Linked DNA regions of Pelodiscus sinensis. The protein of the gene in region 3 interacts with the protein of the main gene of each other region in a biochemical or structural test. Links are inferred from orthologs where the notes say so. Each region holds a gene or a part of one and is shown on either strand. Other genes may lie near its edges. The genes, in order: RUNX1, MAPK10, JUN and ATF2.

The links.
Region 1: the proteins of JUN (region 3) and RUNX1 form a complex in vitro, tested with the Homo sapiens proteins (2 studies listed by BioGRID). The link is inferred for Pelodiscus sinensis from reciprocal best matches to the Homo sapiens genes JUN and RUNX1.
Region 2: of the proteins of JUN (region 3) and MAPK10, one has a biochemical effect on the other in vitro, tested with the Homo sapiens proteins (7 studies listed by BioGRID and IntAct, with this or other methods). The link is inferred for Pelodiscus sinensis from reciprocal best matches to the Homo sapiens genes JUN and MAPK10.
Region 4: the proteins of JUN (region 3) and ATF2 form a complex in vitro, tested with the Homo sapiens proteins (4 studies listed by BioGRID and IntAct, with this or other methods). The link is inferred for Pelodiscus sinensis from reciprocal best matches to the Homo sapiens genes JUN and ATF2.

Annotation. Positions count from the first base shown.
Region 1 is NC_134711.1:184,931,215-184,938,548, forward strand, and holds the start of RUNX1 (runt-related transcription factor 1), read right to left. Parts: upstream 3,271-7,334; 5' UTR 3,256-3,270; coding exon 3,197-3,255; intron 1-3,196.
Region 2 is NC_134715.1:13,816,742-13,824,664, reverse strand, and holds the start of MAPK10 (mitogen-activated protein kinase 10), read left to right. Parts: upstream 1-4,788; 5' UTR 4,789-4,927; intron 4,928-7,923. UniProt on the Homo sapiens protein: Serine/threonine-protein kinase involved in various processes such as neuronal proliferation, differentiation, migration and programmed cell death.
Region 3 is NC_134719.1:14,319,436-14,327,505, reverse strand, and holds JUN (transcription factor Jun), read left to right. Parts: upstream 1-4,962; 5' UTR 4,963-5,870; coding exon 5,871-6,815; 3' UTR 6,816-7,960; downstream 7,961-8,070. UniProt on the Homo sapiens protein: Transcription factor that recognizes and binds to the AP-1 consensus motif 5'-TGA[GC]TCA-3'.
Region 4 is NC_134717.1:44,025,250-44,033,235, reverse strand, and holds the start of ATF2 (cyclic AMP-dependent transcription factor ATF-2), read left to right. Parts: upstream 1-4,583; 5' UTR 4,584-4,708; intron 4,709-4,715; exon of another isoform or gene 4,716-4,978; intron 4,979-7,986. UniProt on the Homo sapiens protein: Transcriptional activator which regulates the transcription of various genes, including those involved in anti-apoptosis, cell growth, and DNA damage response.

The DNA.
Region 1 (7,334 bases), on a different chromosome or scaffold from region 3:
CAGCCCATGGATATAAGGGAGAGAAAGGAATTACACCTGAAAGGCATAATTGGACTGGAAGAGGTAAAGACGGGGAAAACCAAGAAGAATGTGTCTCAGAGGATGTCTACACAGCAGGACTAAAGCCAAAATAAGCTACACAACTTGCGCTACGACAATTGCATAGCTCAAGTCGAAATAGCTTATTTTGGCTTTTGGCGCTGTCTACACAGCAGGAAGTCCGAGGTAGAGCACTCTTCCTCCAACTTCCCTGACTCCTTGTAAAATGCAGGTTACAGAAGTCGGAGTAAGAAGTCCTCCAGTTTGACATTCTTTTGACATTATGTCAAAATAACTGCTTGTACAGTAGACATGGACGTTGTTATTTAGGAATAATGTCAGTTATCTTGAAATAACACTGCTGTGTAGTCATAGCCTCAGACAAACTGGAGTACTGAAGAGGTCACAGGAGAAAGGCAGGGAGCCCTCTGGTAAAGTGACAGTTTTGTACTTCTACAATTAAACCAAGATCCACTACTGCTCATTTATTATTTGTATTATCGTAGAGTATAGGGGTGCTATCCCAGACCACAGCCCTATTGTGCTAAGCACTGTACAAACACACGGTATGCAAGAATCCCCCTCTTAAAGAGCCACAATCTAAATAGACAAGACAGACAAGAAATTATTTCAATTTTACAAATGGGAAACGGAGGCAGAAAGGTTAAGTGATTTGCCTAAAGTCTCACAGGAGTCTGGAACCAAACCCCTAAACCCTGAGACACGATTTATTGTCTTAACCACAAGTCCACTTCATGTCTGTTTTTCATAGCTTCAGTCTTGCCGAGTAAAGGACTAGATATGTGAGAAGGACTTTTTTGTCTGTTTTAAGCTTATTTTTCTTTTTTTCTTGTTTTTAATTAGACCACTTGAGTCTTAAATTGTGTTGCTGTAACGTCACTCGAGTAAATCTATGAAAGGGCCGACAGCCTTCTGACCTCTACTAAAAGGTACTCAGGGATAAAACAGTATATATCCTGGAAGACTGGCCTGAGGCAATCATGTAAGAATTGCCACTGAGATACTGGCTCAGTCAGTACAGTAGCTAGTAAGCCAAGAGGAGTGGCTAGATAGTTATGACTCAGTATGAGAGACTGGAAAATAGCCATGAAATTGTCTAAGTTGAGGAATATGTGAATAACACTCACTTTGGTCTAATCCTGCAAGTAAAAGACAATCCCCATTTACTTTTTTTTAAATAATTGTCTGGTTTAAATTAGATGCAGATCAGACTCATTATGAAAATGTCTGTTAAGGTAATATTTTACTTTGCTCACCAGATCCATATGTCCAGTGTGGGAATGCAGGTGTGGTTTATGTAACTATGCTGTTGCACTCACACCAGATTGGAGAAGCTTTGTTTTAACTCTTTAGGGCACATATGCAAATAGCAATTATATCTAGGATACATTCCATTTCCCCTTCTTTCATTTGTAGGAATAAGGAAGAAAATAGCCTTGTAGAGTTAAATTATGGCTGTTAAGCATGCTTAGCTGGATGCAAGGGGTGGTATGGAGTGAGCTAGGAAGCATCCTGCATCAAAGACCAATTATCCCTCTCATTTACAGAGATGGTGGTAGCAGTGGCAGTAGTGATGTTGGAAAACTAATTTAATAATACCATTTAAAGCATGCAATTTACTCTGCCCCCCCTCATAGCCAGTGAAGTCTGTTAGCTGCCACCAGTGGGAGAAGGAGTTATAGTTGTGTAAGAATGTAGGTGAAGTTGTAGGAAGCAAAGGTCATCCTCCATTTTGGAAGACATAGCTCTAGACTGCAGTCAACATCCAGCTCTGACTATTGTTCTGTTGATAGTGTTGCAAACCCTGTTCCATTCAGAGATCATGAGTCAGGCCCCCAAAATGCATGAGAGCATCTTTAAAATAAATTTGAAGTTCTTTTAATTTGATTGATTAATTTAGCTTATGTTCAGGATTTTGAGCTTTAAGATTACACTGGAACATGTTTTCAATTTTTTTCTGCAGTCATAGGTGCTAGAAACTTCCTTTTGGAGCTAATTTTAAATAAAAGACTGAGATTCTCATATCATCATTTGTCTTCAGGATTTGGGGCTTTCTGAAAAACACCAAGACTCACAAAAAGGTTATGACCATTGGCCATGCTGCATTAGTTATGTAATGCTTATATAAAAAATAATTTAAGTATTAACAATATTCTCTGTGCCATAATAAAGAGATGACCTACATGTGGGGTCAAAAGGGCTAAGGACTTTGCCTACTACTCTCCCTCTTTTTAGGAAGTTACTGCCAAGGGTTAGCAATTCAGAAGTAGTCTGTATAATCAAATTAGCCTTTCTTTCTGTTTTCTGCCCTTCCCATGCAACACAATGTGGTGCAATTTGATTATACCTACATTTGGACACAAAACAATCGTACTATCACATTTTTGCCACAGCATTTCAGCCATTTTACTGAAAGCTTTTCTCTCCCACTCAATGTTTTTTGGAGATTCAGATGAAGAGAAGTTTTGCATTAATGATTTCTATGAAGCCAAGCACAGACAATAGTTTACAAAGGGCAAACATTTTGCTAGTGTTTGTGTGTCCAAGTCAAATGCAAATAGCAGCATATCAGCAGATCTGTTGATATGACATACAATGAATGAGGGTCAAAAAGCTAAATTTACATGGTCTGATAATATTTTCATGCTATTTTCTTCTATTTTCAGCACACAACATGGAAAAGAGTATTTTCTTTTCTTTTTTCAGGAAATAATATCTCAAGAGTTGCCTTAAAAATGCTGCGCTTGTTAAAAAAGACATTCTTCCGTGCAGTGCAAACCAAAAGTAGCAATAATGTCATGTTCTATAAACAGCTTTTCTATTGTAGCCAAATAGTCAAAAAGATTTGCATGCTTTTACAAGGAATATTAGCACATAACGTATGAAGTAATGCCTACATATCTCACACACACACACACACACACATGCAAAGGGCATACTAGCTGTCACTTCTATTGCTCCTCTTCTCTTGGTATTGACTCAACTCCCCGATGGAATCATTTTATTACCCTGGGCTGTACAACATTATTCAGACTAAATCTGTTAAGAGTCCCTTTTCCCTTTGATGTGGTCCTGTTACAATATATATGCATGGAACACACTTGACTCCTGCTTTCAAAAGCCTCCGATCACTTACCTCCAATCAGCACTAACCTTTAGAACTGTGGAGGGGACAGATCTCTCAATTCCTATCATCACAAGCTCCACTAGTGTGCCCCTAAGACCATGTCAGGACTAAAGAAAAAATAAAACAGGCAGCTTGCCCTGATGACATTCAGCTAGCTACCCAGCAGCACGAGATTAAAAACGACAGAGCTATCCTTTCTTCATATAAGTGTATTTATAAACATGCCGTACATAAGCATTTTTCCTTTCTTCACAGTGATGGATGATTATATGTCTATGAGATGCTTTCATTTATTTGGCGCCAGAGTAATCAAAATCAGTTGAAACTGTGGCGAAAGACGGGAAAGGAAACAAGTAGGCGTGGAATTGACTCTGCCTCTTTCTCCCTGGGCCATCCAAGGGTAGTAGCTGGCAAAAGTGTACCCACTGCCGACGAACTTCTCCGTCAGCTGGTAATTGTTCCCAGTCCTGTTCATGGCTGCTGTCCATTGAGGATGTAGCTCTGCATAACTTTGAAAGCAATCAGCTCGGCTCTGGAAACACTGTGGGAGCTTCCGAGCCAGCATGTGCGTGACTCTGTTTAGGCTTTAAAAAAAAAGTGGCCCCAGAAAACCTTTGTGAATGAAATTTTTATGCTTTCATGTCTGTCCCAGCACAGATTCTGGGTCAGTCCTTCTGATCTCAAACATCCTGTTTAAATTGGCATTTTCCACTACATACATACAAAAATATTTCTATTATAAGCTTTTCATAGCTGTGCATGGGCAAGCAAAATGAATTAGATAAGGAAAGACAGTTAATGTCTCTCTGTAAAAATTAAACAAATACATAAAATAAATAATAATAAAACATAAACATTAAAAATACTGATTTTTTCCATGAGTCTCCCAGGGTGTCAAATTCCTTAAATTCATCTTGTAAGGCCAGATGAAGAGTTCAATGACAAATTTTGTGTTTTCATTCCTTTTTCTCTCCCTCACTTTCATAATCGTGCACCAAAAATATAGTGAATAGCTAACACCACAAATATTCTGCATTGGATGAAAAGGTGACACAACAGAATTGCTTCCAGAATTACTCATTGAGGGAGTTTCCAACCCTCTTCACTGAGAGAGATGCACAGCTAGCTACTTTTGTGCCACACCATGGAGGACATTTTGTACAAACAATCTAATGATCCACTTTACATACAGCAGAACCTCAGAGTTACAAACACCTCGGGAATGGAGGCTGGTTGTAATGCTGAACAAAACGTTATGCTGGTTCTTTCAAAAGTTTACAGTTGAATATAATACCTCTCTGAAACTTTACTATGCAGAAGAAGAATGCTGCTTTTCACCATCTGCTGCTTTAACCAATGCTGCTTTTAACTGTTTCTGTGCTTGTTTAATTTAAATGAAACAAGCACTCAGACAGTTTCCTTTCCCTATCAATTTTTAAACTCCTCCCCTTTTTTTAGTAGTTTACATTACTCTGTTTTTTCCCCCTTTCTGCTGCTGCATGATTGCATCCTTCTGGTTCTAGATGAAGTCTGTGGTTAAATGGTCTGGTGCTTGTAACTCTGAGCTTTTTCTGTATTTGCAAATACTGTACATACAACCATAATCTTAAATGTATAGTCAACACTCGTTACCCCAAAAAGCAACAGGAGTAGCAAATAGGAATGTTAAGACGTGGGTATTTTAATAATCGTGTAGACGATAGAATTGTTATTGACTACATGATTAGTCAATAAGGGAAGGCGCTCTGTCCCTGTTTGTGTTGGGTCCGGGAGCTACTCCCAATGGGTATGTCTACACTACAAAGTTAATTCGAACTAACAGACGTTAGAACGAATTAACATTAATAGGCGCTACACATACAAACCGCTAGTTCGAACTTAATTCGAACTAGCGGAGCGCTTAATTCGCACTAGGTAAACCTCATTCCATGGGGACTAACGCCTAGTTTGAATTAAGTAGTTCTAATTAAGGGCTGTGTAGCCACTTAATTCGAACTAGTGGGAGGCTAGCCCGCCCCAGCTTTCCCTGGTGGCCACTCTGGGCACCACCAGGGAAACTCTTCTGCCCCCCTCCCGGCCCCAGAGCCCTTAAAGGGGCATGGACTGGCTACGGTGCCCGTGCCAGGTGCAAGCCTTCCAGCACCCAGCCAGCAGACCCTGTACCTGGCACGGCTCGAGCCTGGCCACCCAGGAGCAGGCTTGCATGAAAATCAAGGTGGTCCAGTGAGACCCCCGACTCTGAGCACCAAAGGTCCATCTAGCCCAGTAGCTTGTCTGCTGACAGCGGCCAACACCAGCTACCCCGGAGGGGATGGACCGAAGACAATGACCAAGCCATTTGTCTCGTGCCATCCATCTCCAGCCTTCCACAAACAGAGGCCAGGGACACCATTTCTACCCCCTGGCTAATAGCACTCCATGGACACAACCTCCATGACTTTATCTCACTTCTCTTTAAACTCTGTTACAGTTCTAGCCTTCACAGCCTCCTGCAGCAAGGAGTTCCACAGATTGACTATTTGCTTTGTGAAGAAGAACTTTCAGTTATTAGTTTGAAGCCTGCTACCCATTCATTTCATTTGGTGTCCTCTAGTCCTTCTATTATGGGAACTAATGAAGAACTTTTCTTTATGCACCCTTTCCACACCACTCGTGCTTTTATATCCCCCCTCAGTTTATATCCTCTATCATATCCCCCCTTAGTTTCCTACTTTCTAAGCTGAGAAGTCCCAGTCTCTTTAGCCTCTCTTCATATGGGACCTGTTCCAAACCCCTGATCATTTTAGTTGCCCTCCCCTCTCCCACCCTCTCTCTTCCCCTCTCCCACCTCCTTTTCCCAGTCTCCCCGAGTTTTGTTAAAGTAAAGAGAGTTTCTATTTTTGAACACACGTGTTCTTTATTTTGTATATCAGGAAGGGGGGCTAGGGAGGGGTAAGTGGCAGGAGGTGAGGGAGGAATGGGGTACGAGCCCCTGATGGGGAGGACTGGGGTGGCTCTGCGGGCTCCTCAGGGTGGAAGCTCTTCTGCAGGCCCCTGATTGACCCCCCTCCCCGGATGGCAGCCTGCGGCAAGTGCAGCTGGTCTGATGGCCCAGTGCTGTGATGTGCCGAGTGTGGGCACTCAGGGCACTCCAAGCCAGGACTGCTTTGCTGTCCCTCATCAAGTTAGACAAGTGAGAGAGGAACCCTGAGAACTGTCTGTCCAGGGTGGGGGTCGGGTCCCTTTAAGCACAGCCCTCGGCTAGCCTGAGACAGCAGCTCCACGCTCTAAGTCCTAATCTGATGCCCTGCCAGCGCTGCTTCCGGCCATCCTTAACCCCGGTTCAGGGTCCACTCAATGTGGACATGCTAGTTCGAATTAGCAAAACGCTAATTCGAACTAGTTTTTAGGTCTAGGTGCACTAGTTCAAATTAGCTTAGTTTGAATTAACTAATTCGAATTAAGTTATTTCGAATTAGTGCTGTAGTGTAGACATACCCAATGAGACTCTGCAGTTTAAATCTAGTAAGAGCTAGGCTTGCTCAGTCACGACTCATTCTGGGTCCAGCAGCCCCTGTCCATGGGGGACCCCAGCACAGAGCTGGACCCTCTGCGGACAGAAGCTATTGCCGGAGAATCTTCTGCCTGCGGCCAGCCCAGGCTGCCATGGACAATCTTCTGTACATGGCAATTTCCCCATCCCTCGCTTTTTAAGCTAGCTCCTGCCAGCACTGGCTCCTGCTTCCCACCCCTTTGCTGCCTGTGATACAGAGGCAGTGGAAGGTGGTGGTGCCTGGAAGAGGGGGGCGGGGGGAAGGGAAGGATGTGAGTACTTGAATCATCAACTCAACTAACCAAGAAGCCTAGGCTTATCTGTTAGTCGACTACTCAACTAGTCGCTTACATCCCTACTAGGAAATGAAGCTGCACAGAACTTACTGGCTCTGAGTGGAGGTACTCAGCTTGGGTCAGCTTGGGGACCCTGGCAAGGTGGGGGTAGTGGAGCAAGGGGAGCTGCTGGGGCTGTTGACACCAGGGTGAAAGGTTGTTCCGGGGTAAATGGATTTTCAGGAAGAAGAAGGCCTTGGGATGCTGGGGCAAGGGGCTAATACAGAGCTGTTCCTGTGGTCAGAGGTTTGCAATGGGGACGCCTGGAGCAGGTGACTGT
Region 2 (7,923 bases), on a different chromosome or scaffold from region 3:
TCTTCATTAATCTCTATATGGTCATAATTTTTCACTCTTCGATATCTATGAGAACTATCTCCCCCCTCCTCCCTCAAATGCCTGGGCTCTGTCTAGATTGGCAAGTTTTTCCGCAAAAGCAACTGCTTTTGCAGAAAAACTTGCTAGCTGTCTACACTGGCCGCTTGAATTTCCGCAAGAACACTGACGATCTCATGTAAGCAATCAGTGCTTCTTGCGGAAATACTATTCTGCTCCCGTTCGGGCAAAAGTCCTTTTGCGCAAAAGCTTTTGCGCAAAAGGGCCATTGTAGACAGCTCAGATTTGTTTTGCACAAAAAAGCCCCAATTGCGAAAATGGCGATCGGGGCTTTTTTGCGCAAAAGCGCGTCTAGATTGGCACGGACGCTTTTCTGCAAAAGCTTTTTTCTGCTTTTCCGTTAAAAGCATTTGCGGAAAATCATGCCAGTCTAGACGTAGCCCTGGTGTTTAAAAACAAAGGCTGCTTTTCCTAATGGTTCCATGACAGATCAGCATAGTCTAGTTCTCAGTGGAAAAATTAAAACTTGCATCAACCAGGGAACAAACAGAAACATAAGACTTGAATTCCAGTTAGCTACATCTTACTCCTACTTTGCATGGGCAATAGGTGAAGCTGCTGCTAGGAGAGGCAAACTTCCCACACTGTGGCCCTGCCCATATTCCACCCCTGCTTTGACCTGGACCTGGCCCTGCCCCCTCCCCACTGTCTCCCTCTTCTCTTCCCCTCCCCTTCCAGACTAATCCATGGGTGTGTCTAGACTACAGGGTTTTGTCGATAAAATTTGTCTTTAGACACACTCTGCTTGGGTGCGCTCTTTTGAAAAAGTGGCTTGCTTTTTTCAAAGTACTGATTGCAGTCTAGAGGCTCTTTTTCGAAAGAGGCTTTTAAGAAAGCCACATACAGACATGGGCATGTCTACACACTCGAGGCACCACCTGGTCCTGGGCACAGCGCTGCCAGGTGCAAGGGTGTGTGTGGCACTTATAGACTCATAGACTTTAAGGTCAGAAGGGACCATTATGGTCATCTAGTCTGACCCCCTGCACAGTGCAGGCCACAGAATCTCACCCACCCCTCCTAGAATAATCCTCTCACCTATATCTCAGATATTGAAGCCTTCAAATACTTTGAAGACCCCAAGATGCAGAGAATCCTCCAGCTGTGATCTGTACCCCATGCTACAGAGGAAGGCGAAAAACCTCCAGGGCCTCTGCCAATCTACCCTGGAGGAAAATTCCTTCCCGACCCCAAATATGGCGATCAGCTAAACCCTGAGCATGTGGGCAAGACTCACCAGCCAAACACCCAGAAAGTTCTCTATAGTAACTCCTATCTTCCCACCATTGACCTATTTCCCACTGATAATGAATGGTCAATTAGTTACCAAGATCATGTTATCTCATCAAACCATCCCCTTCATAAACACATCTAGTTTAATCTTGAAACCAGATAGATCTTTTGCCCCCACTACTTCCCTTGGAAGGCCGTTCCAGAACTTCACTCCTTTAATGGTTAGAAACCTTCGTCTAATCTCAAGCCTAAACTTCCTACTAGCCAGCTTATATCCATTTGTTCTTGTGTCCACATTGGTATTAAGCTTAAATAATTGTTCTCCCTCCCTGGTATTTATCCCTCTAATATATTTAAAGAATGCAATCATGTCCTCCCTCAGCCTTCTTTTGGTTAAGGTAAACAAGCCAAGCTCCTTGAGTCTCCTTTCATAAGACAGGTTTTCCATTCCTCGGATCATCCTAGTGGCCCTTCTTTGTACCTGTTCCAGTTTGAATTCATCCTTCTTAAACATGGGAGACCAGAACTGCACACAGTATTCCAAATGGGGTCTCACCAATGCCTTGAATAATGGCAGTAACACTTCCTTATCCCTACTGGAAATACCTCGCCTAATACATCCCAAGACCGCACTGATGGAAGCCCAGGCACCTTGAGGCACCCCTCCTGGCCATTGGATCCCAGTATGGCTGGCCATTTCCCTTGCCTGCTTGTCTGTAGGATGTGGTGGGTGGAAGCATTGTCCCCTGGGGAGCACGAGTAAGACAGGGCCCGCTGTCCAGGCCATACATGGCCTTTCTCTTGGGACATTACCTTCCTCTGACCCGGGAACTGTTGCTCTCAGCTCACAGAGGAGGGCAAAGCTTCAGGGACAGTGTCCCCAGAGATGACTGACCGCCTCCCTTTATTCTCCCGAGGCAGATCAGCCATGAGAGTGGGGCAATTTACACCACCCGAGCCAGCTGCCCAACTCTGGGAGAGCTGCAGGTGGCGGAGGGTCCAGGAGGACCTGATGAGGGAGCACATCTGCATTCTGAGAGACATGCAGCAGACGCTGGCCCAGAAGGTCCAGGATGATGTGCAGTGGCCAAGGGCATCCCATGAGCCTAGGCGAACTACGCAGTTCCCTAGAGAGCACTGGCCTGGGCGCCCCGTGATGATGTGATGGCCATTAACGGTCGTGCAGGCGGGGTTGCAGAGGGGGCGCCAATTGCACCGCCTACCTGGGGCTCCAGCTGCTGCAGCCGGGCTTGGGCCGCTCCTGGCAGTGTCGGACACAGATGTGGAATAAGCTGCTGCAGCAGGGATGCAACATATGTGCGACCGTCCAGGATCTCCTGATGCACCTGGAGCCAGCTCCTGCTCTTGCTCTAGCTCTAGTCCTGGTCTCTGCTCCTGCTCTAGTCCCGGTTCCTGACCCCGCTCCCCCTCCCATTCCTGACCCCGCTCTAGCCCCCTCCTGCCTATCCCCCTGACCTCCCTGGAATCTCCCACCCCCAAGGTCGCCAAGGTCTCTGCACATGAGGCTGAGGGAGCACTCAAGCCACACATCTCTCTCAGCCCCAGCTCTGAACCTCTCCTCCCCACTTCAAGTTTCTCAGCCCCTTTCCTCCTCCCTCCAAGCTTCTTAGCCTTCTCCCTCCTCCCCATTTCTAGGTTCTCAGTCCCCCTCCTCCCCAGTTACTTCTACCTCAAATAAATCACCACAAAGTTCTGTTTTTAACAACCAAGCAAGTTTTTTTTAAATTGTGTGTAATGTAGAAAGCTCCTACTTGAGAGATTGTGCTACTTCCTGAGCACAGCACTGAGCATGCCCAGACACACTGAGCATATTCCTATAAGGTAGGAGCTTTCGACATTACACAGGGCTCTAGTTGGAAGGCCCTGGGAAGAGTGTAACTGGAGAAACCCTCCCCTAGGCTTCCTAGATGCACACCTTTGCTTGATAGGCCTGTGTGTCTGCTCAAGGCCTTTCCGTCCCGGCTGCTCTCTGCCCCCCGTTTCATCCTTATCTCCCTGCTTAGAACCTATGTAAAGGGGTACTTTTCCATCAGGAGCAGCCATCCAAACAGATTACTACAGACGCCTCGCTGATGGGTTGGGGTGCACACTTCCAACAACAAATTGCACAAGGGAAGTAGTCCAAAGACGAGACCGTATTCCACATAAACCTGCTCGAGCTTCGACCAGTTCAGAACGTGTGCAAACACTTCCTCCCACACATCCAGGACTCTTTGGTGCATATCCCCACTTACAATATGACTGCTATGTTCTACATCAATCGCCCTGGGGGTGCAAGATCCCAGGCATTATGTGCAAAGGCAATCAAGCTATGGAATTAGTGTATCCACAAATGAGTCACAATCGCATTTGCATATTTGCTGCGGAACCGTTTTTGCGCAAAAACAAGCAGTGTGGACATATTCTTTTTGCACAAAACCCCTTTTTTCCACAAGAGCGGTACACCTCCTTTTTTGGGGCATAAGGATCTTGTGGAAAGGGGGTTTTGCGCAAAAAGAAAATGTCCACACTGCTTGTTTTTGCGCAAAAACCCCAGCGCAAAAATGGACCGGCAGCAAATATGCAAATGAGAGTCTGACTCATGCAAATGAGTCTCTCATTAGCATATTTTTTTGCCAAGAAAACTCGTAGTGTAGACATAGCCTTAGCATGTCTGGTCAAATCATGCAATGCAGTCAAAGAATTGAAGAAGAGATGTTCCTTTTTTCCAGTTCTGAAGAATGGCAGATTTCTGCCATGGACGGAAAGTCAGCTTGCTGAATTAAACTAGAAATTACTAGTGGCTGCATTCACCTAATTTAACACTGTTTTTTTCAGTGACAGTCTCCCTTTTTGGCCTTGTTCACTTTATAAATATTGTATATGCAGAAAATATCAATCTGTTTCTAAGGAGAAAATAGCATCTGGGGCTGCTTCTAAAGGAAATATGTATTTCCAGCATATAGTGTGCAGTAGGAGCCTGTTCTGAAGGCCACTGAACTAATTTAGCCAATTAACTGGGGTCAGGTCTAATGAACTTAGATTTTCTATCAATTTGCTACTTTTGAACTGTTAACAGCATACAAAAATCTGCAGTTGCTTTATTCCAATGGAACAATAAATCTTCAGAGCATATAATGTAACACTCTTACAATGGAAATGAATACATATGTCACACTATTTATAATTTAAAGTAAGAGACTAACCAGTAGGAGTTAAATAATGTGGAACACACATTTTGTAATTGTATGTGCAGAGTTCTCATCTTAATGGAAAAATAAGCTGTTGGAAGCATTTCACTTTACAGTCCTTCATATCCTGTCACTGCAGAGTGAATTCCACTGAGCACTATTACAGAATTTTAAGAGCCATGTGATGAGATGACCATGCTCAGACAAGAAAGGGGAAAATTCTCTGCAAAGAAAGCCAGGCAGATTACCTACCCTACCTCACAGAATCTGCTGTGCTTGCCAATTAAGGAGAGAGCTTCCAGCTGGGTTCATAAAGACACATGCTGAAGTGGGAAAAGGAAGCACCTCTTTGTACTTGTTCAGGGAGCTGTTTTTTTGTTTATCAGCTGTGAGCTGAGCTGAGACTTTGAGGTCCTGAACAAGGGGTAAGAGGACTAAAATAAGATTTCTGGCAAAATCTTCATTTTATTTCTCTTTTACTATTGTCTGCTGATGAAGACTGGAAGGGTTTGGGCTGGAGACTTAGGAGCCAGGAAAGCTGGTCTATGATTCAAGTAGTCCTAAGGAAAGAATGAAATGGATGTTTGAGGCTGAAGCTGAGGGGCCATAGCCATGCTGTTAGTGGAAGGTACAGGCTTCCCTATGTGTTAGCAGTGTCTCCAGGAAGGGTATATACACATGAGCAGCCCTGAAGCCATGGGCAAATGATTGTTTGTTTGCAAAGATCCAGTACTGAAGGGAAAGACATTTGTGTCTTCTGTTTAAATGGCTGCACATCCTGGAAGGGAAGGACTAAGCCAACCTACTAGCAGAAAGAGACTATAGATTAGTGAGAGAAACTGAGGTATTGGTGTACCTGTTAATGGAGAGGTAAGGTGACTCTGTATACCTAGCAAAGGATAATAGCAAAAATACTCCTACAGAGAGAGTCCAAGTAAAACAGAGAAGAAAACTTGAGAATTGCAGAGAGAAGTGACCCACACTATTGGTGGGCTTAGAGAGGCAGGTGAAAGAATATCTCTGATTGTCCATAATGGAGATGAGAGCCAAAGTGGGGGAGCGGAAAGGGTGGACAATAAAGCCTGAATACAGGAAATAGAAACCCTATTTAAAATTTTTTTTTACTTAATTGGATTATTGGAAGTGCAGTGAAGCTGGGGGTGCTGAGGATGATATGAAGCCACTTTTTGGAGTGAGTAGTTTTCTCACATCTTTTATCCATATTCTCATTCGGGATGGTGAATTCACCAGGTTCTCTCCATTCTGACACAGTGTAGTGCCTTTAAACCTCACTGTCAGCAGTGGGGATATTTACAAGGCACTGCTTTTACATTTGTATTCAGGATCTGCGTGTGCCCTGAACTGTCCCGCTCCCCGCTGGCTGATTCTCCCCTCCCCCCCTTCTGTCCTTTCCCCGCCCTGTCCCTGCAAGCCGATTCTCTCCCGATCTCTCCTGGCAAGCCTTGCTACCCCTGGAAGCCCTGCTTCCGCCAGCTGGTTCCTCCGGCCTCCCTGCAATCTCCCGCAGCCAGCCTCACTGCCCCTGCCAGCCGGTTCTCTCCCCCCCGCCCCCCACAATTTCCCTTAGCAAGCCCCACGGCTCCCACCCTCCCCCCCCCCCCGGCCAGCCCTGCTTCTGCCAGCTGGTTCCCCTCCCTATATCCCCCGGGCAGCTCCACTGCCCCGACCCTGCTTCCCTGCGGCCCATATCCAACTCCTCCTCCCTCTACAGCCAGCAATAAGAGCTCACCTGGTAACCCTCACTATGCCTCTGCCGGGAGCCTGAAACATATGGCTGCATCCGCCCAGCCCGGCTGAGGGTTTAGGGAACCCAGCGCTGAATGGGCAGTCTGGGAGCCTGGAACACCCTGGGAGCCACGCTGAGGCCCACTATTTTTTTCCCGCGGCCCATATTGGGCCGCAGCGAGTCCATAGTTTGAGAAATGCTGATTTAGATAATGGCATAACTAATATTCTTATAGGCTGTGTCTAGACTGGCCAGTTTTTCTGGAAAATCAGCCGCTTTTCCGGAAAGACTTGCCAGCTGTCTACACTGGCCGCTTGAATTTCCGCAAAAGCAAAAAGAAAAAAAATTCTTCCTACTGTAAGAAATCAGTGCTTCTTGTGGAAATACTATTCTGCTCCCGTTCAGGAAAAAGTCCCTTTTGTGCAAAAGGGCCAGTGTAGACAGCTCAGATTTGTTTTCCACAAAAAAGCCCCGATCGCGAAAATGGCCATCGGGGCTATTTTGTGGAAACGCGCGTCTAGATTGGCACAGACGCTTTTCCGCAAAAAGTGCTTTTGTGGAAGGGCGTCCGTGCCAATCTAGATACTCTGTTCCAAAAATGCTTTTAACAGAAAACTTTTCCGTTAAAAGCATTTCCAGAAAATCATGCCAATCTAGATGCAGCCATAAAGTTTGCAGATGATACCAAACTGGGAGGAGTTGCAAGTGTTTTGGAGGATAAGATTATAATTTAGAATGATCTTGAGAAATGGTCTGAGCTAAGTAGGATGACATTCAATGAGGACAAATGAAAAGTACTCCTCTTAGGGAGAACAATCAGTTTCACACATGCAAAATGGGAAATTACTGTCTAGGAAGGAGTACTGCAGAAAAGGATCTAGGGGTCATAAAGACTGTAAGCTAAATATGAGTAAACAGTGTGACACTGTTGCAAAAAAAGCAAACATCATTCTTGATTGTATTAACAAGAATGTTGTAAACAAGATATGAGAAGTAATTCTTCCACTGTACTCTTCACTGATTAGGCTTCAAATGAAATAGTTTTCTAGTTCTGGACACTACATTTTAGGACAGATGTGGGCAAATTGAAGGAAGTCCAGAGAAGAGCTTCAAATATGATTAAAGGTCTAGAGAACATGACATTGAAGGAAGATTGAAATAATTGGTTTTGTTTAATCTGGAAAAGAGGAGACTGAGAGGGGACATAACAGCTTCCAATTACCTGAAAGGTTGGTGAAAGGAGAGGGAGAAAATTATTCTCCTTAGCCTCTGATGACAGGACAAGGAGCAATGGTCTCAAATTGCAGCAAGGGAGGTTTAGGTTGGACATTAGGAAAATCTTTTTGTCAGGGTGGATAAGCACGGGAATGAATTTCCCTTGGGAGTTGTGGAATCTCTGCCATTGGATCTTTTTTAAGAGCAGGTTAGACAAACACCTGTCAGGTATGGTCTATATCAGTGGTCTTAACCTTACTGCAGCCTACACCCCTTTGGTTCTCAAAATATGTTCTTGCACCCCTTATTAAAAATCATTGAAGTAGGTCAGTTCTTTAAACCTAAGAGATATCATAAAAATCTGGCATGTCTTGCACCCCCAGAAAGGGCATCTCGCACCCCCAGGGGTGCGTGCACCCCAGGTTAAGAACCACTGGTCTAGATGGTGCTTGGTCCTGC
Region 3 (8,070 bases):
GCACGTCTACATTGGCCACAGACGCTTTTCCGGAAAAAGGGCTTTTCCGGAAAAACAGCCTGCCAATGTAGACGCTCCTTTTCCGGAAAAACTGAAAATGGAATAGTATTCCGTTTTAAGCATTTCCGGAAATTCATGCCAGTGTAGACACAGCCTTGCTGTATATTTAAGTTTTCTGACTCCTTCTGCAAAGTGTTGCCAAAAAAAAAGTGTTCACTATAAGAATGAAAACAGTAATTGATTCATTTTTTTCTTGAGACCAAATATAATTCACATAAAGATTATGTGTATGAGAAATTTTAATTTATCCCTCAAAAGGCCATTTAATTATTGAGATAATCTGTTTGCTTCTTGCAGCCCTGTATTGATGGATTACAGAACTCTTGAAATGAAAATCTGTATTATCGTTAGTCAAGGCATCTACCTGCCGCATCAATGGAAATAAACAGTTAATTTCCAGTTCCTTCTCACAAATGGCTCAGTAAGCCCCGGTTTACACTAGGGAATTATTTCAAAATAACTCCCCTTATTTCAAAATAAGGGGCTGGTTATTTTGAAATAACAACTCCTGCTTTCCTCGGGGAATAAGCTTATTTCAAAATAGTTATTTTGGGGGATATTTCAAATTTAGTTATTTCAAAATAATTTCCTATTGTAAACATGCCCTAAGTGTTTTTTCATCTCACTACACTAGTTATTTCATGAGATCAGGAAGGGGCTAAAGAGTGCTAAAGTAATAGCTGATTCAGGAATCTAGTCATCTACCATTCCAAGCTCTCATGGCCATGGAGACTCAAAATCTCTGCACCAATAGGGCAGATTCACCTTTTCTGAAAGTATGTCTACATTGTAAGAGTGAATGTGTCTCCATGTCCAGGTAAATAGCTATGTACATGTTCTGCTCATGCTAGTGCACAAAAATAAGTATGGATTGCGTGACACAGGCAAAGGGTTGGACTAGCCACTGAGTATGGACTCTCAAGGATGGACTTTTTTATGGGCGGCTAACCTGTGTTGCTATCTGTGCCACACCCTTCACATTGCTATGTTTAGCACACTAGCTTGAGCAGAGCTAGTATGTGTCTGTCTATGGGTACGTCTACACAGCAACATTATTTTGAAATAACTAGCGTTTACTCAGCAGGCAGTTATTTCGAAATAATATCGAAATATTGTCAAGCTGGAGGACTTTTTACTCTGACTCCTGTGACACTCATCGTACAAGGAGTAAAGGAAGTCGGAGGAAGTGCTCTATTTCGAAATAAGTGCTGTGTAGATGTTCCAAATTTCAAAATAAGCTATGTAATTGACGTAGGTCAATTTGCGTAACTTATTTTGAGTTAAGCCCTGTTGTGTATATGCACCCTAACAGAACAGCGAGGTACAATCCCAGCTGGAGTGCACACAGACTCTTCAGTTTCATACTACTGAATGAATCTCAGTTTGTCTGCTGGGTGCTAAACCAAGATTCTCAATCTTACACTGAGCAGACAGCCATCATTCATTTCAGATGAATGATATTTAGGCTTGGTTGAAAAAGCAGGAAGAAACAGACAGCCAAGAAACAAAGTCACATTTTCTTTGGTTTCAAAGCTGTCCATGTATACTCAGCATTTATGACCAGCTTGACTGTCTGTTGCTCAATTTCCCAAATACCCTCTAAGTGAGTATCAGTTAACATAATTAATGTTTGATGACTATCTGCCCTAGCAATAGGCCATGGCAGCAACTTGTTCCCAGTGAAACTGGAATGACCTACTTTGACCCCGTCCATTTCTGAAACTCCACCTTTGTGACAGGAAGGAAGTCAAAGCCTGCCTGCAGCAAAGTGGGTGAAAAAACATGAAAAAAAATTCTACACAACAGTATACTAGCAACCCACTCCAATACTCACTGAATCAATGGAAAACTTGTGTTGACAACAGGGCTGTTGGAACAGACCCGAATGGAGCAATAATCTGTTTTTCAGTTCATACACATAAAGTTGACTAAAAAGAGGCCTGAATGGTACATTGACTTCCTTTTTTTTTTTTTTTGGCATTACATCTTAACTTGGGTGTGTAATGTTAATTTGTTAATACCCAAGTAGTTATATACATAAATATAGTGTTTCTGGACAAATTCAAGATTACTGCAATCTTATTTAACACTGTTAAGATTTAGAGCTTATCTACGTGAGGAAAATTGACTGGAATATCTGTTTTGCAATAAATCCCCATCCAAATCCTCTAATTCCAGAATAGACACACCTTTAACGTGCCTTTAGCCCAAACCCTTAGCTATATCTAGGTACCTAATTTCTATAAATTTCAAAGGGACTTAGGCACTTAAAAACCTTTGACAATCTCGGCCTTTCTCTGGTTTAATTTAACAATGGGTTAAGCAAATGCAAACAAGGTGTTCTTATTCTGAAATAAGTGTCCACAAAGGGAATTATTTCAGAATAACTAGTGTTTTAAGCTCACACTCTTCCTTTTACCAGAATAATATCCACTGTAAAAAAAAAACCTTTAAAAATTTGATAATTGTACTTTGACACAAAAGATTACAATAGCATCAGAGCTGGTAGTGAGTAAAATTAAACATTTCCCATTGTTAAACAGACAAATGAAAACTTTGAAATGTATCTTTATGAAATATAAGTTTATTTGTAACATCTTGAGTGTAATTTTGATGAAGCAGGGAGCCGTTAACATTAAATTAAACAATTAGGCTGTGTCTATATTGGCAAAATCTTGCTGCCTGTCTACACTGGCTGGGAGTATCAGCGCAAGAACACTAATGTAATGTACAAAATCAGGGCTCCCGTTCCCGCTCAGGGATAAGTCCTCTTGCACAAGTGTACTTGCGCAAGAGGCCAGTGTAGACGGGCAACATCAATTTCTTGCGCAAGAAAGCCCGATGGCTAAAATGGCCATCAGAGCTTTCTTGCGCAAGAGAGCATCTACACTGGCACGGATGCTTCTGTGCAAAAGCAAATCTTTTGTGCAAAAGCACATGCCAGTATAGATGCTCTCTAGTGCAAATACTTTTAACGGCAAAACTTTTCCGTTAAAAGTATTTGCGCAAAATCATGCCAGTGTAGATGCAGCCTGAGTGTGTCTAGCATCGAACAGGCTGATAACAGATTTCGAGACAAATGTATATGCAATGACACTTCTGATTTGTTAAGCTATTTAACAGTTGGAATTCTGGCTGCATGCTAGCACACATTTTAACTTTTCTGGAACACAGGAATATCTTGGTTACATGTACTATGGCAAGACATAGAGAATAATAGGCAATATATTCAGGTGTGAGTTTAGAATTTCACACTAGGAACTATTACTCCAGATGCTACAAAGTGTACACTTGTTCTCTGTACACCAATTACTTTCCAAAACCGGCAGTACTAGCTCTTTTGCAAGTTAATATACTACTCAAATTCAAGTGGAGGACACTAGAAAAAAAATGTCAAATGGAAAGAAGAAACTGGGAGATCATTTAGAAAACTAATGGACTATGATGTTTACTTCTGCTTTGGGTTTGTATTTCTTTTTAATCCCATTTGAAAATTTAACCAATTGTTATGTCTGGAACAAGAACAAAAAAATCCTAGAATGTTTCCCTTTTTCAAGTACTTGTTTAATCCATGAAATAACAGTCCGTTTTGCATTTAAGACGTGATTTAACAGGATGGCCACATTCTCTTCTGGAGTACACTGGCAAAGTTCCATAGAAGTGCGTCGATTTACACCACCAGATAATTTGATCTACGTAACTTTTATAATTGCTTTACTTGTTAGGAGCGTTGGCCACGTGTTTCTGCTCGGCAGAATATGATATAATAGTCTTCCAGCTTCTTGCCCCGTACCCGTGCGCCGGGTGGTGTTAAGCAGCTGCTCCCTCCCACCTCAGCGGTGGTGACATCTCAGCGCTGCCTTATTTGCAAAGAGCTTTATAGATATTCACAAACGCTGCCTCCCCACAAACTAGTGAGACTGGTCGGGAGGAGGCAGCCCTGTCTGGGTAGCAATGTGCAGCACCTGCCAAGAGCGGCAGAGCATTGGCGGGGGTGGGGTCGCTCCGTGGGAGGGCGAGGACACTTTTTTCCCGCGTTTCCCGGAGCGCTGCCGCATCCCAAGAGGCGCAGCACTTTGCAGAGGGTAAGGTCGCAGGGTGGGGAGAAGCCCTGGCACGTCGCCAGCAGCACGCCCCCGCCAGCGAGGCAGGCGCGGCTCCCGCTTGCCAAAGGAGCCACGTGGGCTCCGCCCCGTCCACGCTCCGCAGGTGCCAGGCGGGAGCTGCCAAGGTTTGAATGCGGGAGGCGGGAGCCCGGAGAGCTCGGGCCCGTAGCAGGACCCCGATCGCGTATCTCAGCCGCTGCTTCCCGAGCAGGCGCCTCCCCTCCCCAAGCGACAGCGGCTGCCCCCGTCGGAGCCAAGCGGCGCTCCCCCGGCGCTGGGCAGCGCTGCCGGCCGGCCCCAGCAGGGAGGGGAAGAATCACGTGCGGCTCAGGGTCATCCCTAAGCTGTCCCCAGCCTACGGCTGCGCCCAGACGTCAGTGCCACCTTAAGGACCGTACCACCCCACGGGGGGGGAGGGGGAGTCAGAATGCAGCCTAAAGCGAGCCCCGACGCGAGGCCCTCGATGCACCCAGCCCCCTGCTGGCAGACTGAACCGTGAAGACTCAAGCAGTAGGATTGATTAAAAACTCACTAGCCACCCCGTGTCCAGGGAGCAGGTCGGTCTGTGTGCCTTTCCCACCCCCCCTCCGTCCACAACTTGGTGCTTGCTGCCTATTAAGGAGGCTCCCCCTTCCCAACCCCGCGCGTCCAAGCGCTCTTCAGCGGGTAACCAGAGATTCAAAAACAATACGTCAGCCCACAATGCCCCGCGGTGAGCACAAGCATTACCTCATCCCACAGTGCCCTGCGAGGGAGCTGAGAAGCTTCTAGGGGTGGGGTGACCATGGAGACCGGCTCCTTTGCAACAGGCCGGGCCAGCGGCCCGCCACCCCCCTGAGGTGCCGCCGCAGCCAATGGGAAGGCCGCGGGGTGACATCATGGGCTATTTTTGGTGGGTTACTGCTCGCTGATAAGTGTTGGGCTGCAGGCCGGGAAAGGGCTCAGAGTGTGCGGCAGGCACCAGGGCAGCAGCAGCAGCACTAGCAGCGGCGGCGGCGCCCAGCGCGAGAGGCGGGCACGGCAGCGCGCGCGGTTAAGTGCCTCGGGTTGCGGCGGGGACCCGGCCAGCGCAGCCGCGGGAAACGTGGTCGCCGCGGCGGGCGGAGCTGGAAGCCGAGACAGCGGCCGCCCGTGGAAAAGTCCTTGGGACAGCTCGGGGGTGCGGCGCGGCGAGCCGCGGCTGGGACAGCCCGCCCCAGGGGCTGCAAGCGCCGGGCGCCCCAGGCACCCTCGCAGCGGGAGAAGAGGGCAGCCGAGAGCCTGGGTTTCTGAGCCTCCCACCCCGCGCGATCCGGAGGGGAACCTGCCTGTCGGACACTTACTCCGGAGTGAAACTAGAGCGAGGCTGGATTTCTGCTCCGTTCCTCGCCGCGCAGCGCCGTCCCAGACACCACAAGAACTTGACACCAGCGCGGCTGCGACTCCGCGCTCAGGCTGACTCGCTTGTTGTGGTTTGAAAAAAGTTGAGTCCTGACCCGCGGAAGAAACGGGGAAAGACCCGCCAGCCGCTGCCCTGGGGGATAAAAAGAAAAAGTAAGACTCGAGCCGATCGTTACTTTTCCAAAGCTTTTTCGTTGTTGAGTTACACCGTTGCCGTTTTGTATTGAAAAAGGTGAACTTGCTTTGAACGGGACTTGGCAAGCAAACGAGTTTCTCCCTGCTTAATTGTAACTGCTTCAAAGACAGTTTGGTGGACTGTGTTCTATGACTGCAAAGATGGAACCTACATTCTACGATGATGCCCTAAATGCTACCTTTGTACAGCCAGAAAGTGGTGGTTATGGATATAATAACCCTAAAGTCCTGAAGCAGAATATGACACTAAATCTGGCTGATCCTGCCAGCAACCTGAAGCCCCACCTCAGGAACAAGAATGCTGATATTCTTACCTCCCCAGATGTTGGTCTCCTGAAGCTGGCATCTCCTGAACTGGAAAGGCTAATCATCCAGTCCAGCAATGGCTTGATCACCACTACTCCCACCCCAACACAGTTTCTGTGTCCCAAAAATGTTACTGATGAGCAAGAAGGGTTTGCTGAAGGTTTTGTGAGAGCTCTGGCAGAGCTACACAATCAGAATACGATGCCCAGTGTTACAACTGCTGCCCAACCAGTTAGCAGTGGTATGACACCTGTTTCATCTATGGCTGGCAACAATGGTTTCAACACCAGTTTGCACAGCGAACCTCCAGTGTATGCTAATCTCAGCAACTTTAACCCTAGCGCACTCAGCACAGCACCTAACTACAATGCAAACAACATGGGCTACCCACCTCAGCATCACATTAATCCACAGATGCCAGTGCAGCATCCCAGGCTCCAAGCTCTGAAAGAAGAACCTCAAACTGTACCTGAAATGCCAGGAGAGACTCCTCCACTGTCCCCCATTGATATGGAGTCACAGGAGAGGATCAAGGCTGAGAGGAAGCGCATGAGAAACAGAATTGCAGCCTCCAAATGCCGGAAAAGGAAGTTGGAAAGGATTGCCAGATTGGAAGAAAAAGTGAAAACTTTGAAAGCCCAGAACTCAGAACTGGCATCCACTGCCAACATGCTCAGAGAACAGGTTGCACAGCTTAAGCAGAAGGTCATGAACCATGTCAACAGTGGGTGCCAACTAATGCTAACACAACAGTTGCAAACATTTTGAAGATACTGACTTGGGGTGAAAAATCTATGATGTTGCAGTAGAGCAACAGAAAAAACAAACCCATAACAAGTGGCAGATTCATAAAGCTAATGGTAAAGGCTTGAGAGGCATTGAGTCCTGCTTGCACCCCACAAAGTACATGTGTGGAAAGACTGGCGAGCCTTCAACAGAGCTAGTAGCAAAACAGCACCACTCTGAGAAGTGCTGTTCCTGCTCAGATGATACATCAGATCTTTGTTTAATATTGACCAAGACCTGCATGGACCTAACATTCGATGATCATTCAGTATTAAAGGTTAAACTGCAATAGAGACTGTAGGTTGCTTTCTGTAATACTCTTAAAGAAAACACAAATGGGAGGGAGGTTTGTGGGAGGCTGATAAAAACAAATATACTGCCTGCCTTCAAGTAAATTGTGTATGTACATTTTTTTTATTTTATGAAAGCTGATTAATGTCAATAAACAACTTCATGACTTTGTAAATTATTTTTATGTTTGTGTTCTGTCCAGTAATGTTTGTAAATGAGGGTTTTTGAGCACTCTGAATTTACCATTTGTAATAAAGTATATAATTTTTTATGTTTCTGAAAAAAGTCCAGAAAGGTTCTATTATATTTAAGAAAATATAAAAGCATTAATAATGCATTTCCTTCCCCTCTTCCCTCCCTCCCCCTCCTTTTTTACCAGTACCTAAATCAGGACTCGTATCACACATGCTGAACTCTCAGTGGTAGAGAATGTTTAACTTATACTGTAACAAGAAGACACGTTCTGGAGAATGTGTTCAAGTGAAAAGATAAACCATACCCTGTAACATGAACAGCAAATAATGTATGTATTTTAAGTGTTTTATGGATTTAGTTCAGATTGGCTTGCCTGTCATAATCCCATATCACAATATAGACAATAGCTTTAAAAATTAAGCAGTTTGGGGGGGTTTGCTATTTGCATCAACTTGCCCTGTCCTATACTAGTCTGAACTGTAACTATTTCATATTACTTATTAAAATAATATCCCCAACACCATATTTTAGGTAGGAAATTTAACAAAAAGGTATCCTTCAGTACTGTCTAATTATTCAGAAATAAGAGGTGGTCTTTGTTCATGAATACTTGCTGTCACAATAAAATTCTGTAATCCCTTTCCCTATGTTGAAATCTTTACCCTTTTAGACATTTGAATATTAAAATGTATTTACCAATATGTAAACTGGGGAGTTTTAATATAATGGAGAACATATGTAACTATAAATT
Region 4 (7,986 bases), on a different chromosome or scaffold from region 3:
TTTTGGTGGACCCATACATAACATTACCAAACATGCTTGCAGACACTTCTCATGCATCTCCTGTTCTTTTTTCTGTGATAATGATTATACAACTAATTGGAGAGACAAGATGGGGGAAGTGAGATCTTTTATTGTGCCAACCTCTGCTGTTGAAAGACAAGCTTTTGCACTTTATTCAGAGCTCTTCTTCATGTCTGGGGAAAGTATTCACAGTATCACAGCTAAATACAAGATGGACAGATTGTTTAGCATCACAAATGTTGTAATGCACCCATGCAAGGTGAAGTTGGAGGATTAACACTTATGTAGTCAGAGGACAAAGAAGGAGGATTGGGTGAATTATAGATTGAATGTATGGCTCATGTAAAACACTGTCTTTACTGAGTCCATGATTTTTAGTCTAACAAAGTTGTGAGTTTAAGCTCCCATGTTTGTGTTTTGAAGATGATGCACAGATTTCCTTTGAGGATGAGGACTGAGAGGTCAGATAATTCACTAATTGACAAACTGGAAAAAAATCATTTTATTCTTTATTCTCAGAGGAATTTTAGCTGCTACATTTGTATCTACGAAAGTTAAATGTTTCAGATGGAAATACGATTTGAGTCGACATTGTCTGACCCATTATGGAATACTTACTGTCACTTAATGATCAACAAGCCTCAGATACGTCAATTAAATGTGAAATATAGATTCAATTTTTACGTGTAATTGAGCTATTGCTTTAGGTATAATTAAAATAAAAATTTACATAACTAAAGGAAACAGTTAAAATTTATAGCAATACTTTTTTGCTGCATTGTTTAAGGACATAAACATTCTAGTTCAAAAAGACAAACTTGTAAAGAAAGATCCTTTTGTTTTCCCCATTACATTTTAGGCATAAGGTTGCCGGATGGTTTCAACAAAAATTGTGACATTAAATCACAATCTACATTACATCTTATTTAGAAAATACTGGACATTTATATTTTCTCAATTTGTTTCCCGAACAGAAAGCTCAAATACTGGACTCTCCAGTTCAAAACCGGATACCAGCCAGCCCTATTTAGGCATTGTAGTCTTGAGGAAATTTCATTGCCCTGTTAACTGTGAGACTCACTAATATTAATTGGATTCAGGTGACCATGTGGACTACACTTTGTTCTGCTGATAACACTAACATTTTGTTATATATATAATTTGCAGTCCAAGTATTTGTAAAACTTATGACTGCATTTTGAAGAGCTAAAAATATATCTACCACTTCAGTGTAGCAATAAGCAATGTTTAAATTACATAACATTTTCCTGCTTCGTTTATAAAACTTTCCTTGCTGTCTTGGATCAGCCACAAAGATGCTTTTAGTACTGTAGTTGCTGGAATTTTCTAATTAAAATTCAAAATGTTTTAGCTAACATTTTGTATTTTATTTAAAAGGACATTGTCAACTTAAAAATCACCGCAGTCTAATTTTGAACATCACAAGTTGTTAGAGCTCGGTCATACAGAACAATGACAATTGAGTGTTACACGTGGGCAGTTGCACTCAGTGTACATCAATACTGATGATGATGCTGGTGTAACCCTGAAATGTAGCGATTTCTGGGTACATTCCCTGTGGTTCATTTTCATAGAATACAAGGTATTTAGCAACTTTGTCTGACCCCTATGGAGATTGTTGACAGAAGTGACCTAGTCCCTCAAAATTGCCAGGAACCAAACTGGCCAATAAGTGAAAAAACTTGGAGCAATGCTGAGAGTGATCACATACATTTAAGGCTGTGTCTAGACTGGCATGATTTTGCGGAAATACTTTTAACGGAAGAGTTTTTCCATAAAAAGTATTACCACAAAAAAGCGTCTAGATTGGCACGGATGTTTTTGCGCAAAAGCATCCGTGCCCAGTATAGACGCACTTTTGCGCAAGAAAGCTCTGATGGCCATTTTAGCCATCGGGTTTTCTTGCACAAAAAATTAAGGTGCCTGTCTACACTGGCCCTCTTGCGCAAGTATTCTTGCGCAAGAGGGCTTATCCTTGAGCGGGAGTGTCAAAGTATTTGTGCAAGAAGCACTGAATTCTTACATTAGAACGTCAGTGCTCTTGTGCAAATTCAAGCTGCCAGTGTAGATATCTGGCAAGTTTTTGTGCAAAAGCACTCGCTTTTGCACAAAATCTTGCCAGTCTAGACGCACCCATAATGACTAACGATTATATTTAAAAGCATGGAAAATACAAATTCAATAATTATAAAGTTTTTCTAGTTATAATTCAGAAAATACTCCTTGTGTGTCAGTAGGTAAGAATGATATGAGGATAAGGCCTGCACATGAAAATTTCTAAATTCTTCCTTGTCAGAATTTTCATAAGGCATAATGAAATTATTATATAGTTTGGTATTCCAGATCCCTACCAGTTTTGAAGTGTAATTTTTGTACATAATTGTCATATGTTTATACATTTGTTTTATTTAGTCATTCAGTGGTCATTTTGCTTCTTGAGCATGCCTTAGCTAATTTTTACAACTATACCATGTTGTAAATAAAGGCTCTGAACATTGTTTTTTTGGTTTAACAAATGACTGCAACTTTTATTAGTTTACTCCAAACCCCTGCAATAAGAATATTTATATATCCAAAACCATGCCCTTCTACCTATTAGTAAAAGTTGAGCAACGCAACTCTTGCTTTCCTGCCACAATGGACTCAGAACCAAATTGTATCCAAGATACTCTTCCAGATAACATTGGGAATTGGTCCAAATTAAAATGTGATTTGTCCGGCAGTACGCCTACCTCGCTTCTCAGTGTTAAAGCATCTGCTCATTCAAATGCTCACACTGTAACATGACTTCACTTCTACCTCTGTGCATTAAGTTAGGATAACCTCTGGGCATGATTACACACTATAATTTCAATAGACAACCTGCCAAGTAATCCTGAATTACTTCAATCTGCTATTATGAGATAGTATCTAACTTTGGATCACTTATCCATGCTGAATAAGCTTAACCAGAAGACTTATCCTGTTCCTTTTTAATGGATCACTCTTTTCTAAATAAGAGGATAAGGGATCTTTCAGAAAAGGCTTTATTTTCCGAAAGATCCGCGTCTAGACTGGCGCTTTTTTCTGGCAAAGCTCCGTGCTGAAAAAAGCGGCAGCCATTTTTATGCTAATGAAGCAGGGGAGATTTAAATCCCCGCTTCATTAGCAATTGCAATACGTCTAATTTGCATCCCTTTTACGAAAAAGGGATGCAATCTAGACGTAGCCTTACTGTACAGATTTTTCCAGTGGCACACATCTGTGGCAGTCTTCGGTCTCTGATCCACCTTTGTCTCTCCTCTTCTGTCTGTTCTTACCTCCTGTCCCCACAGAACAAATTATCTCTTGGCGCTAATGGCTATGAAAGAAAAGTGGTATAGTTGGAACAAGGGTGTTGGCTTGGTATACTTTCTGGCTACGTCTACACTGGCATGATTTTCCGGAAATGCTTTTAACAGAAAAGTTTTCCGTTAAAAGCATTTTCGCAAAAGCGCATCTAGATTGGCAGGAAGCTTTTCTGTAAAAGCACTTTTTGCGGAAAAGCATCCGTGGCCAATCTAGACGCGCTTTTCCGCAAAAAGCCCCAATCGCCATTTTTGCGATCGGGGCTTTTTTGCGGAAACGAAATCTCTGCTGTCTACACTGGCCCTTTTACGCAAAAGTGTTTCAGAAAAAGACTTTTGCCCAAACGGGAGCAGCATAGTATTTCCGCAAAAGCACTGACAATCTTACATGAGATCGTCAGTGCTTTTGCGGAAATTCAAGTGGCCAGGGTAGACAGATGGCAAGTTTTTCCACAAAAGCAGATGATTTTGCGGAAAAACTTGCCAGTCTAGACACAGCCTCTACAGTCAAGAGTTTTGAGAACCACTTAACAAACCCTGTTTATGATGGAAACCACTTCTAGCACTCCCAGCATCTATTATTTGGAAAGTATAAGATCCCCATTGCTTCCTGCTCTGAGCCTTTCAAGCCCAATGAGCAATCACAAATTATTTTACATTTATATAAAGCTCCTACTATAATCTTTATCCCACAGGGTCTCAAAGAACAACCGTTGTTTGCAGTGTTGCTGCCCTTGTGTTAGGCCCAGGATAGTAGAGAGTTAACGTGAGTGGGGTAACACTAATTAACATAATTCATTTGTATTATCATAGCCCCGATGAGCCTCAGTCAGGGACCCACCCGGACCCCACTGTGCTGCCAGGGCTGTACACAGAACAAAATGACGGCCCCTGCCCCCAAAGACAATGCACTTTGAATTACCACAAAACGGTCACGAGGTCGATTTTAAATCTCCTCTGTCATGCCCCTCCTCCCCCGCATTATCTTCCGTTCTAACCCGGACGCGGGAGCAGCCCTGGGCCAGTCGTTAGAGACGCGGCGCTAACGTTGCCCTTCCAGCCGCTCGACTTTGAGAAGACCAGCTTAGCAAAACGCCACCTACAGGCGTCCATCCCCGCCCCCACAATTGAGCGCTTCCGGCCAACCAGACACTAGAGGGCCCCACCCTGCAAACCAATCAGGGGCCTTCTCTATGCTACCGCCAGCTGCAACTCCCGTGGATCACGTGACCCCTTTCCCTCGGCCTGGGGAGGGGGGGATGCCAGTGAGTTATCGCGAGAAGGGACGGAAGCCTATGGGGGACCCGGCCTTTAATGTGCGGTTCGGCCCCTCTCCCCGGGTGAGTTTGTAAACAGAGCGCGGCGAAGGGCAGCGCCTCTGGCGCGTTGTAACGGGGTGTTGTGGGTAGCGGCGCCTCGGCCCTAGCGGGCGAGGGAAGGGGGCGGCGTGGGCCGGGCCGGGCTGGGCTGGGCTAAGTGGGGGTGCCCGGGAGGTATTAACATGGCGCCGCCGCTCTCCACGGAGACCCCCGCCTGTGGCCCCCGCCACCCTTAGAGCCGCGGGGTTCGGGCCGGAGCCAGCGCGCAGGAGACTGTTACCCGCCCCCGAGGTAGGCTGGTCCCTGCGGCTGCCCCAAGGAGGGGGCTGGGGAGCAGGGCGAGGCTTCTTCCCCGGAAGCGGGCTGCCCTGATAGATACAGCCGGCTCCCACCCGTCCCCGGGGGCGCTGGGGGCGCTCTCCCCTGCAAGGGTAAAGTGGGCCTGCCCCTTCCCCTGCTGCGACGGGACCGAGCCAAAGGAGAAGCGGGAAGGTTCCTCTCTTCGCCTGTGACTGCCTGAGAGTAGAGAGGGGCGGGTGGAGGGAGAGGAGACCCAGGTGCCCTCAGCAAGTGCTAAAAGGGGAGGGCAGAGCCAGAGAGGGGGCTGTCGCTCTGTTGCCCGTAAGTGCCGATGCGATTGTGTGGCCTGTACCTACTTCCAGCCTGGCCTGGGTTGTAGTGCTCTGCTGGGGCACATCACCATTGTGACTGTGTTGAGTGGGAGCTCGACACTGTGCTGCCAATTGTAGGTATTTTCTTTAGGGTCCTCTCAATAACCTTTCACTTATTGTGGCCCATTTTGGAGGACTCTTTATGAGAGGCAGAGCTGATGCCCAGACATTCAAAGCATGATAGTTATATTGAAGGTTGTGAACATCTTCCCTGAGGGGCCCATCTCTTGCCTCAGGATTGTTCACTATTGTAGGTACTAGGAACTTAATGTGTTGTCATGTCCACTCCCACCACCTAGTAAATTTATTTTACAATTTGCAATCTTTTGGTTTCCCTCACACAAAATAATACTGTCTTTGCAAATGAAATGAGTTGGGATACTCTTGTATCTCATGTAATTTGGATGCCTTTTCTCTCTCCCCCCCCCCCCCCAAAAAAGTAAATTCTATGCTTATCTTTTTCTCCAAATAATTGAATTCTGAGCTTTTTGTTTTCTATCTTCCATCCTTTCCCTGCCTTTAGTAAAATCTTTATTCCCTTTATATCCTAGTCAATGAATCTTGGATTTAGTTTGGGACAACAGCAGAAGCAATTTCTGAGTGCAAGAGTTTAGGCAGATTAAAATAGCCATTTTTGTGTCTACTGAGAATATCCACATTTAGTTTAGATAAGGTAAAAAGGTATAAGATTCAAATTATGCTCGATGGCTGTGGTTTTCAGCCTGTGGTCCATGGACTCCTGCGGGGGCGTGGGGAACTGCAAACCATGTCTAAAATTTCCAAAGAGCTCTGTGCTTCCATTTGAAATATTTTAGGAGGGGAAAACAGCTATTGCTTTAGAGTATAAGACAACCAGTAGCAGCTGGGGGGGAACCCTGTGGACAGGTGTTTCCATAATTGTGAAATGCAAGACTTTTTTTAAACCTTTCTCTGAAGTATCTGGTAGTGGCTGCTATTAGAGGCCCAATAGTGCAGACACTTATGCATAAATTTAACTTTACTTCATTACTGGTAGTAGCTCAATTATTTAAAGCAAGTGTTTGCGGAACTAGAACCAGAGAAGAAGTTACTGGATTAGGTAGAATAATGCTCTAATCTCTTAGTTATAAAATCTACTAAAGCGCCATGAAAATAACACTTAGCATATTTCAAAGGGCCTTTTTGCAATGAGTGAACTTGAACAAAAAAAATCTAAAACATTATTGGGGCTTATTGTTACATTAAAGGTTACTGTCAGAAATTTACATTAATAAAAATGCATTTTGTGCAGGAGGGTAGGAAACCTATTTATCATTTTATATTTGGGTAGTTAAAGTTGTACATTAATATTTTGATCTTCATTGCACACACAATGTCTTTACTCAGACTTAGAGGTTGGTAAGTTTAATTTTGTTGATATCTGTAGTCTTCACTAGGCATTTTATAACTATACAGATTCTGCCATGTATCCTCCTTTTTACTCAGAAATTTTTATCTTATTTGATTATATTAAATCTTTATGGGTTCACTGCTGCTCCCACACAGTTTGTTCTTGGATAGGATATGCCCAGATAATACTGTATTCCATTAACTTTTGACATTTGGCCATGTTTCTGATGTGCCTGTTATGTCAAGATTTAATTCCATTTTTAGCCATTGTAGTTCATCTTTTTTTTGTCTGTGGATATTTGTGATCACAAATAAAAGCCATGTGCCAATCTTTATCTATTTCATGATATGTATTGCTTTTCTGAAATTTAATCTGAACTCGTCCTAGTATGCTTCCATTTTCAAAAAATGTTTATCAAATTCCCATTTGTAAAGAACCCATTGAAGACTTTCATTGTGACAAGCATAATATGATGATACTTCCTGAAGTCAAGTTGTGTGCATTAGCTAGCTTATTTAACTGCATCATCTTATTACAGTGACCCTGTAGTCTCTTCAACCATTCCGTGTTGCTTGATACTTTCTCTTGCTATGTCTTGTCTTAAATTACACTGTAAGCCCTTGTAGGCAGGTACTGCTTTCTTGCATCTTGGTACACATAGGTCCATGTTCCTCCTTGGAGCTATGGGATGTTACTGGTGTGTGTGTGTGTGTGTGTGTGTGTACACCAAATATAGAGTTTCATGGTATCGGACACTGTTAACTTACACTTCTATTAGGGATATTAAAGACTAGTCAACTAGCTGACTATCCGATAAGCAAATGCTTATCAGATAGTCAATTGACTAGTCAATGTCCGCCCTCCTCTCCCCTTCCCCCCCCCCCCCCCCCACTTTTGGCTGCTTCTATTATATAGAGGCAGCCAAAGGAGGTGGGGGGAAGAAGAGGTACTTCAATGTGGCTGCGCAGCACTGCTGCTTTGAAACCCCAAGGTGCGTTTCAAAGGGGCATCTGCCAAGGAGTGTCACTCCTCAGCTGATCCCAGGTTCTGGGAATATGCCATGTGGAACCTGGCCAAGCGGAGCCCAGGGAGTCCCAAGCTGACCCTGGATTCTGCTGCTGCGCAGAGCCTGAAGTTCAGCTGGGAACTGCTCAGCTGATCTGGGCTCTCTGTGTCATTTAAGCAGAACCTGGGATCACCTGGGGAGTCCCCAGCTGACCCTGGACTCCATGGCTTTGAAATGTACAAGAGCCCCTGTT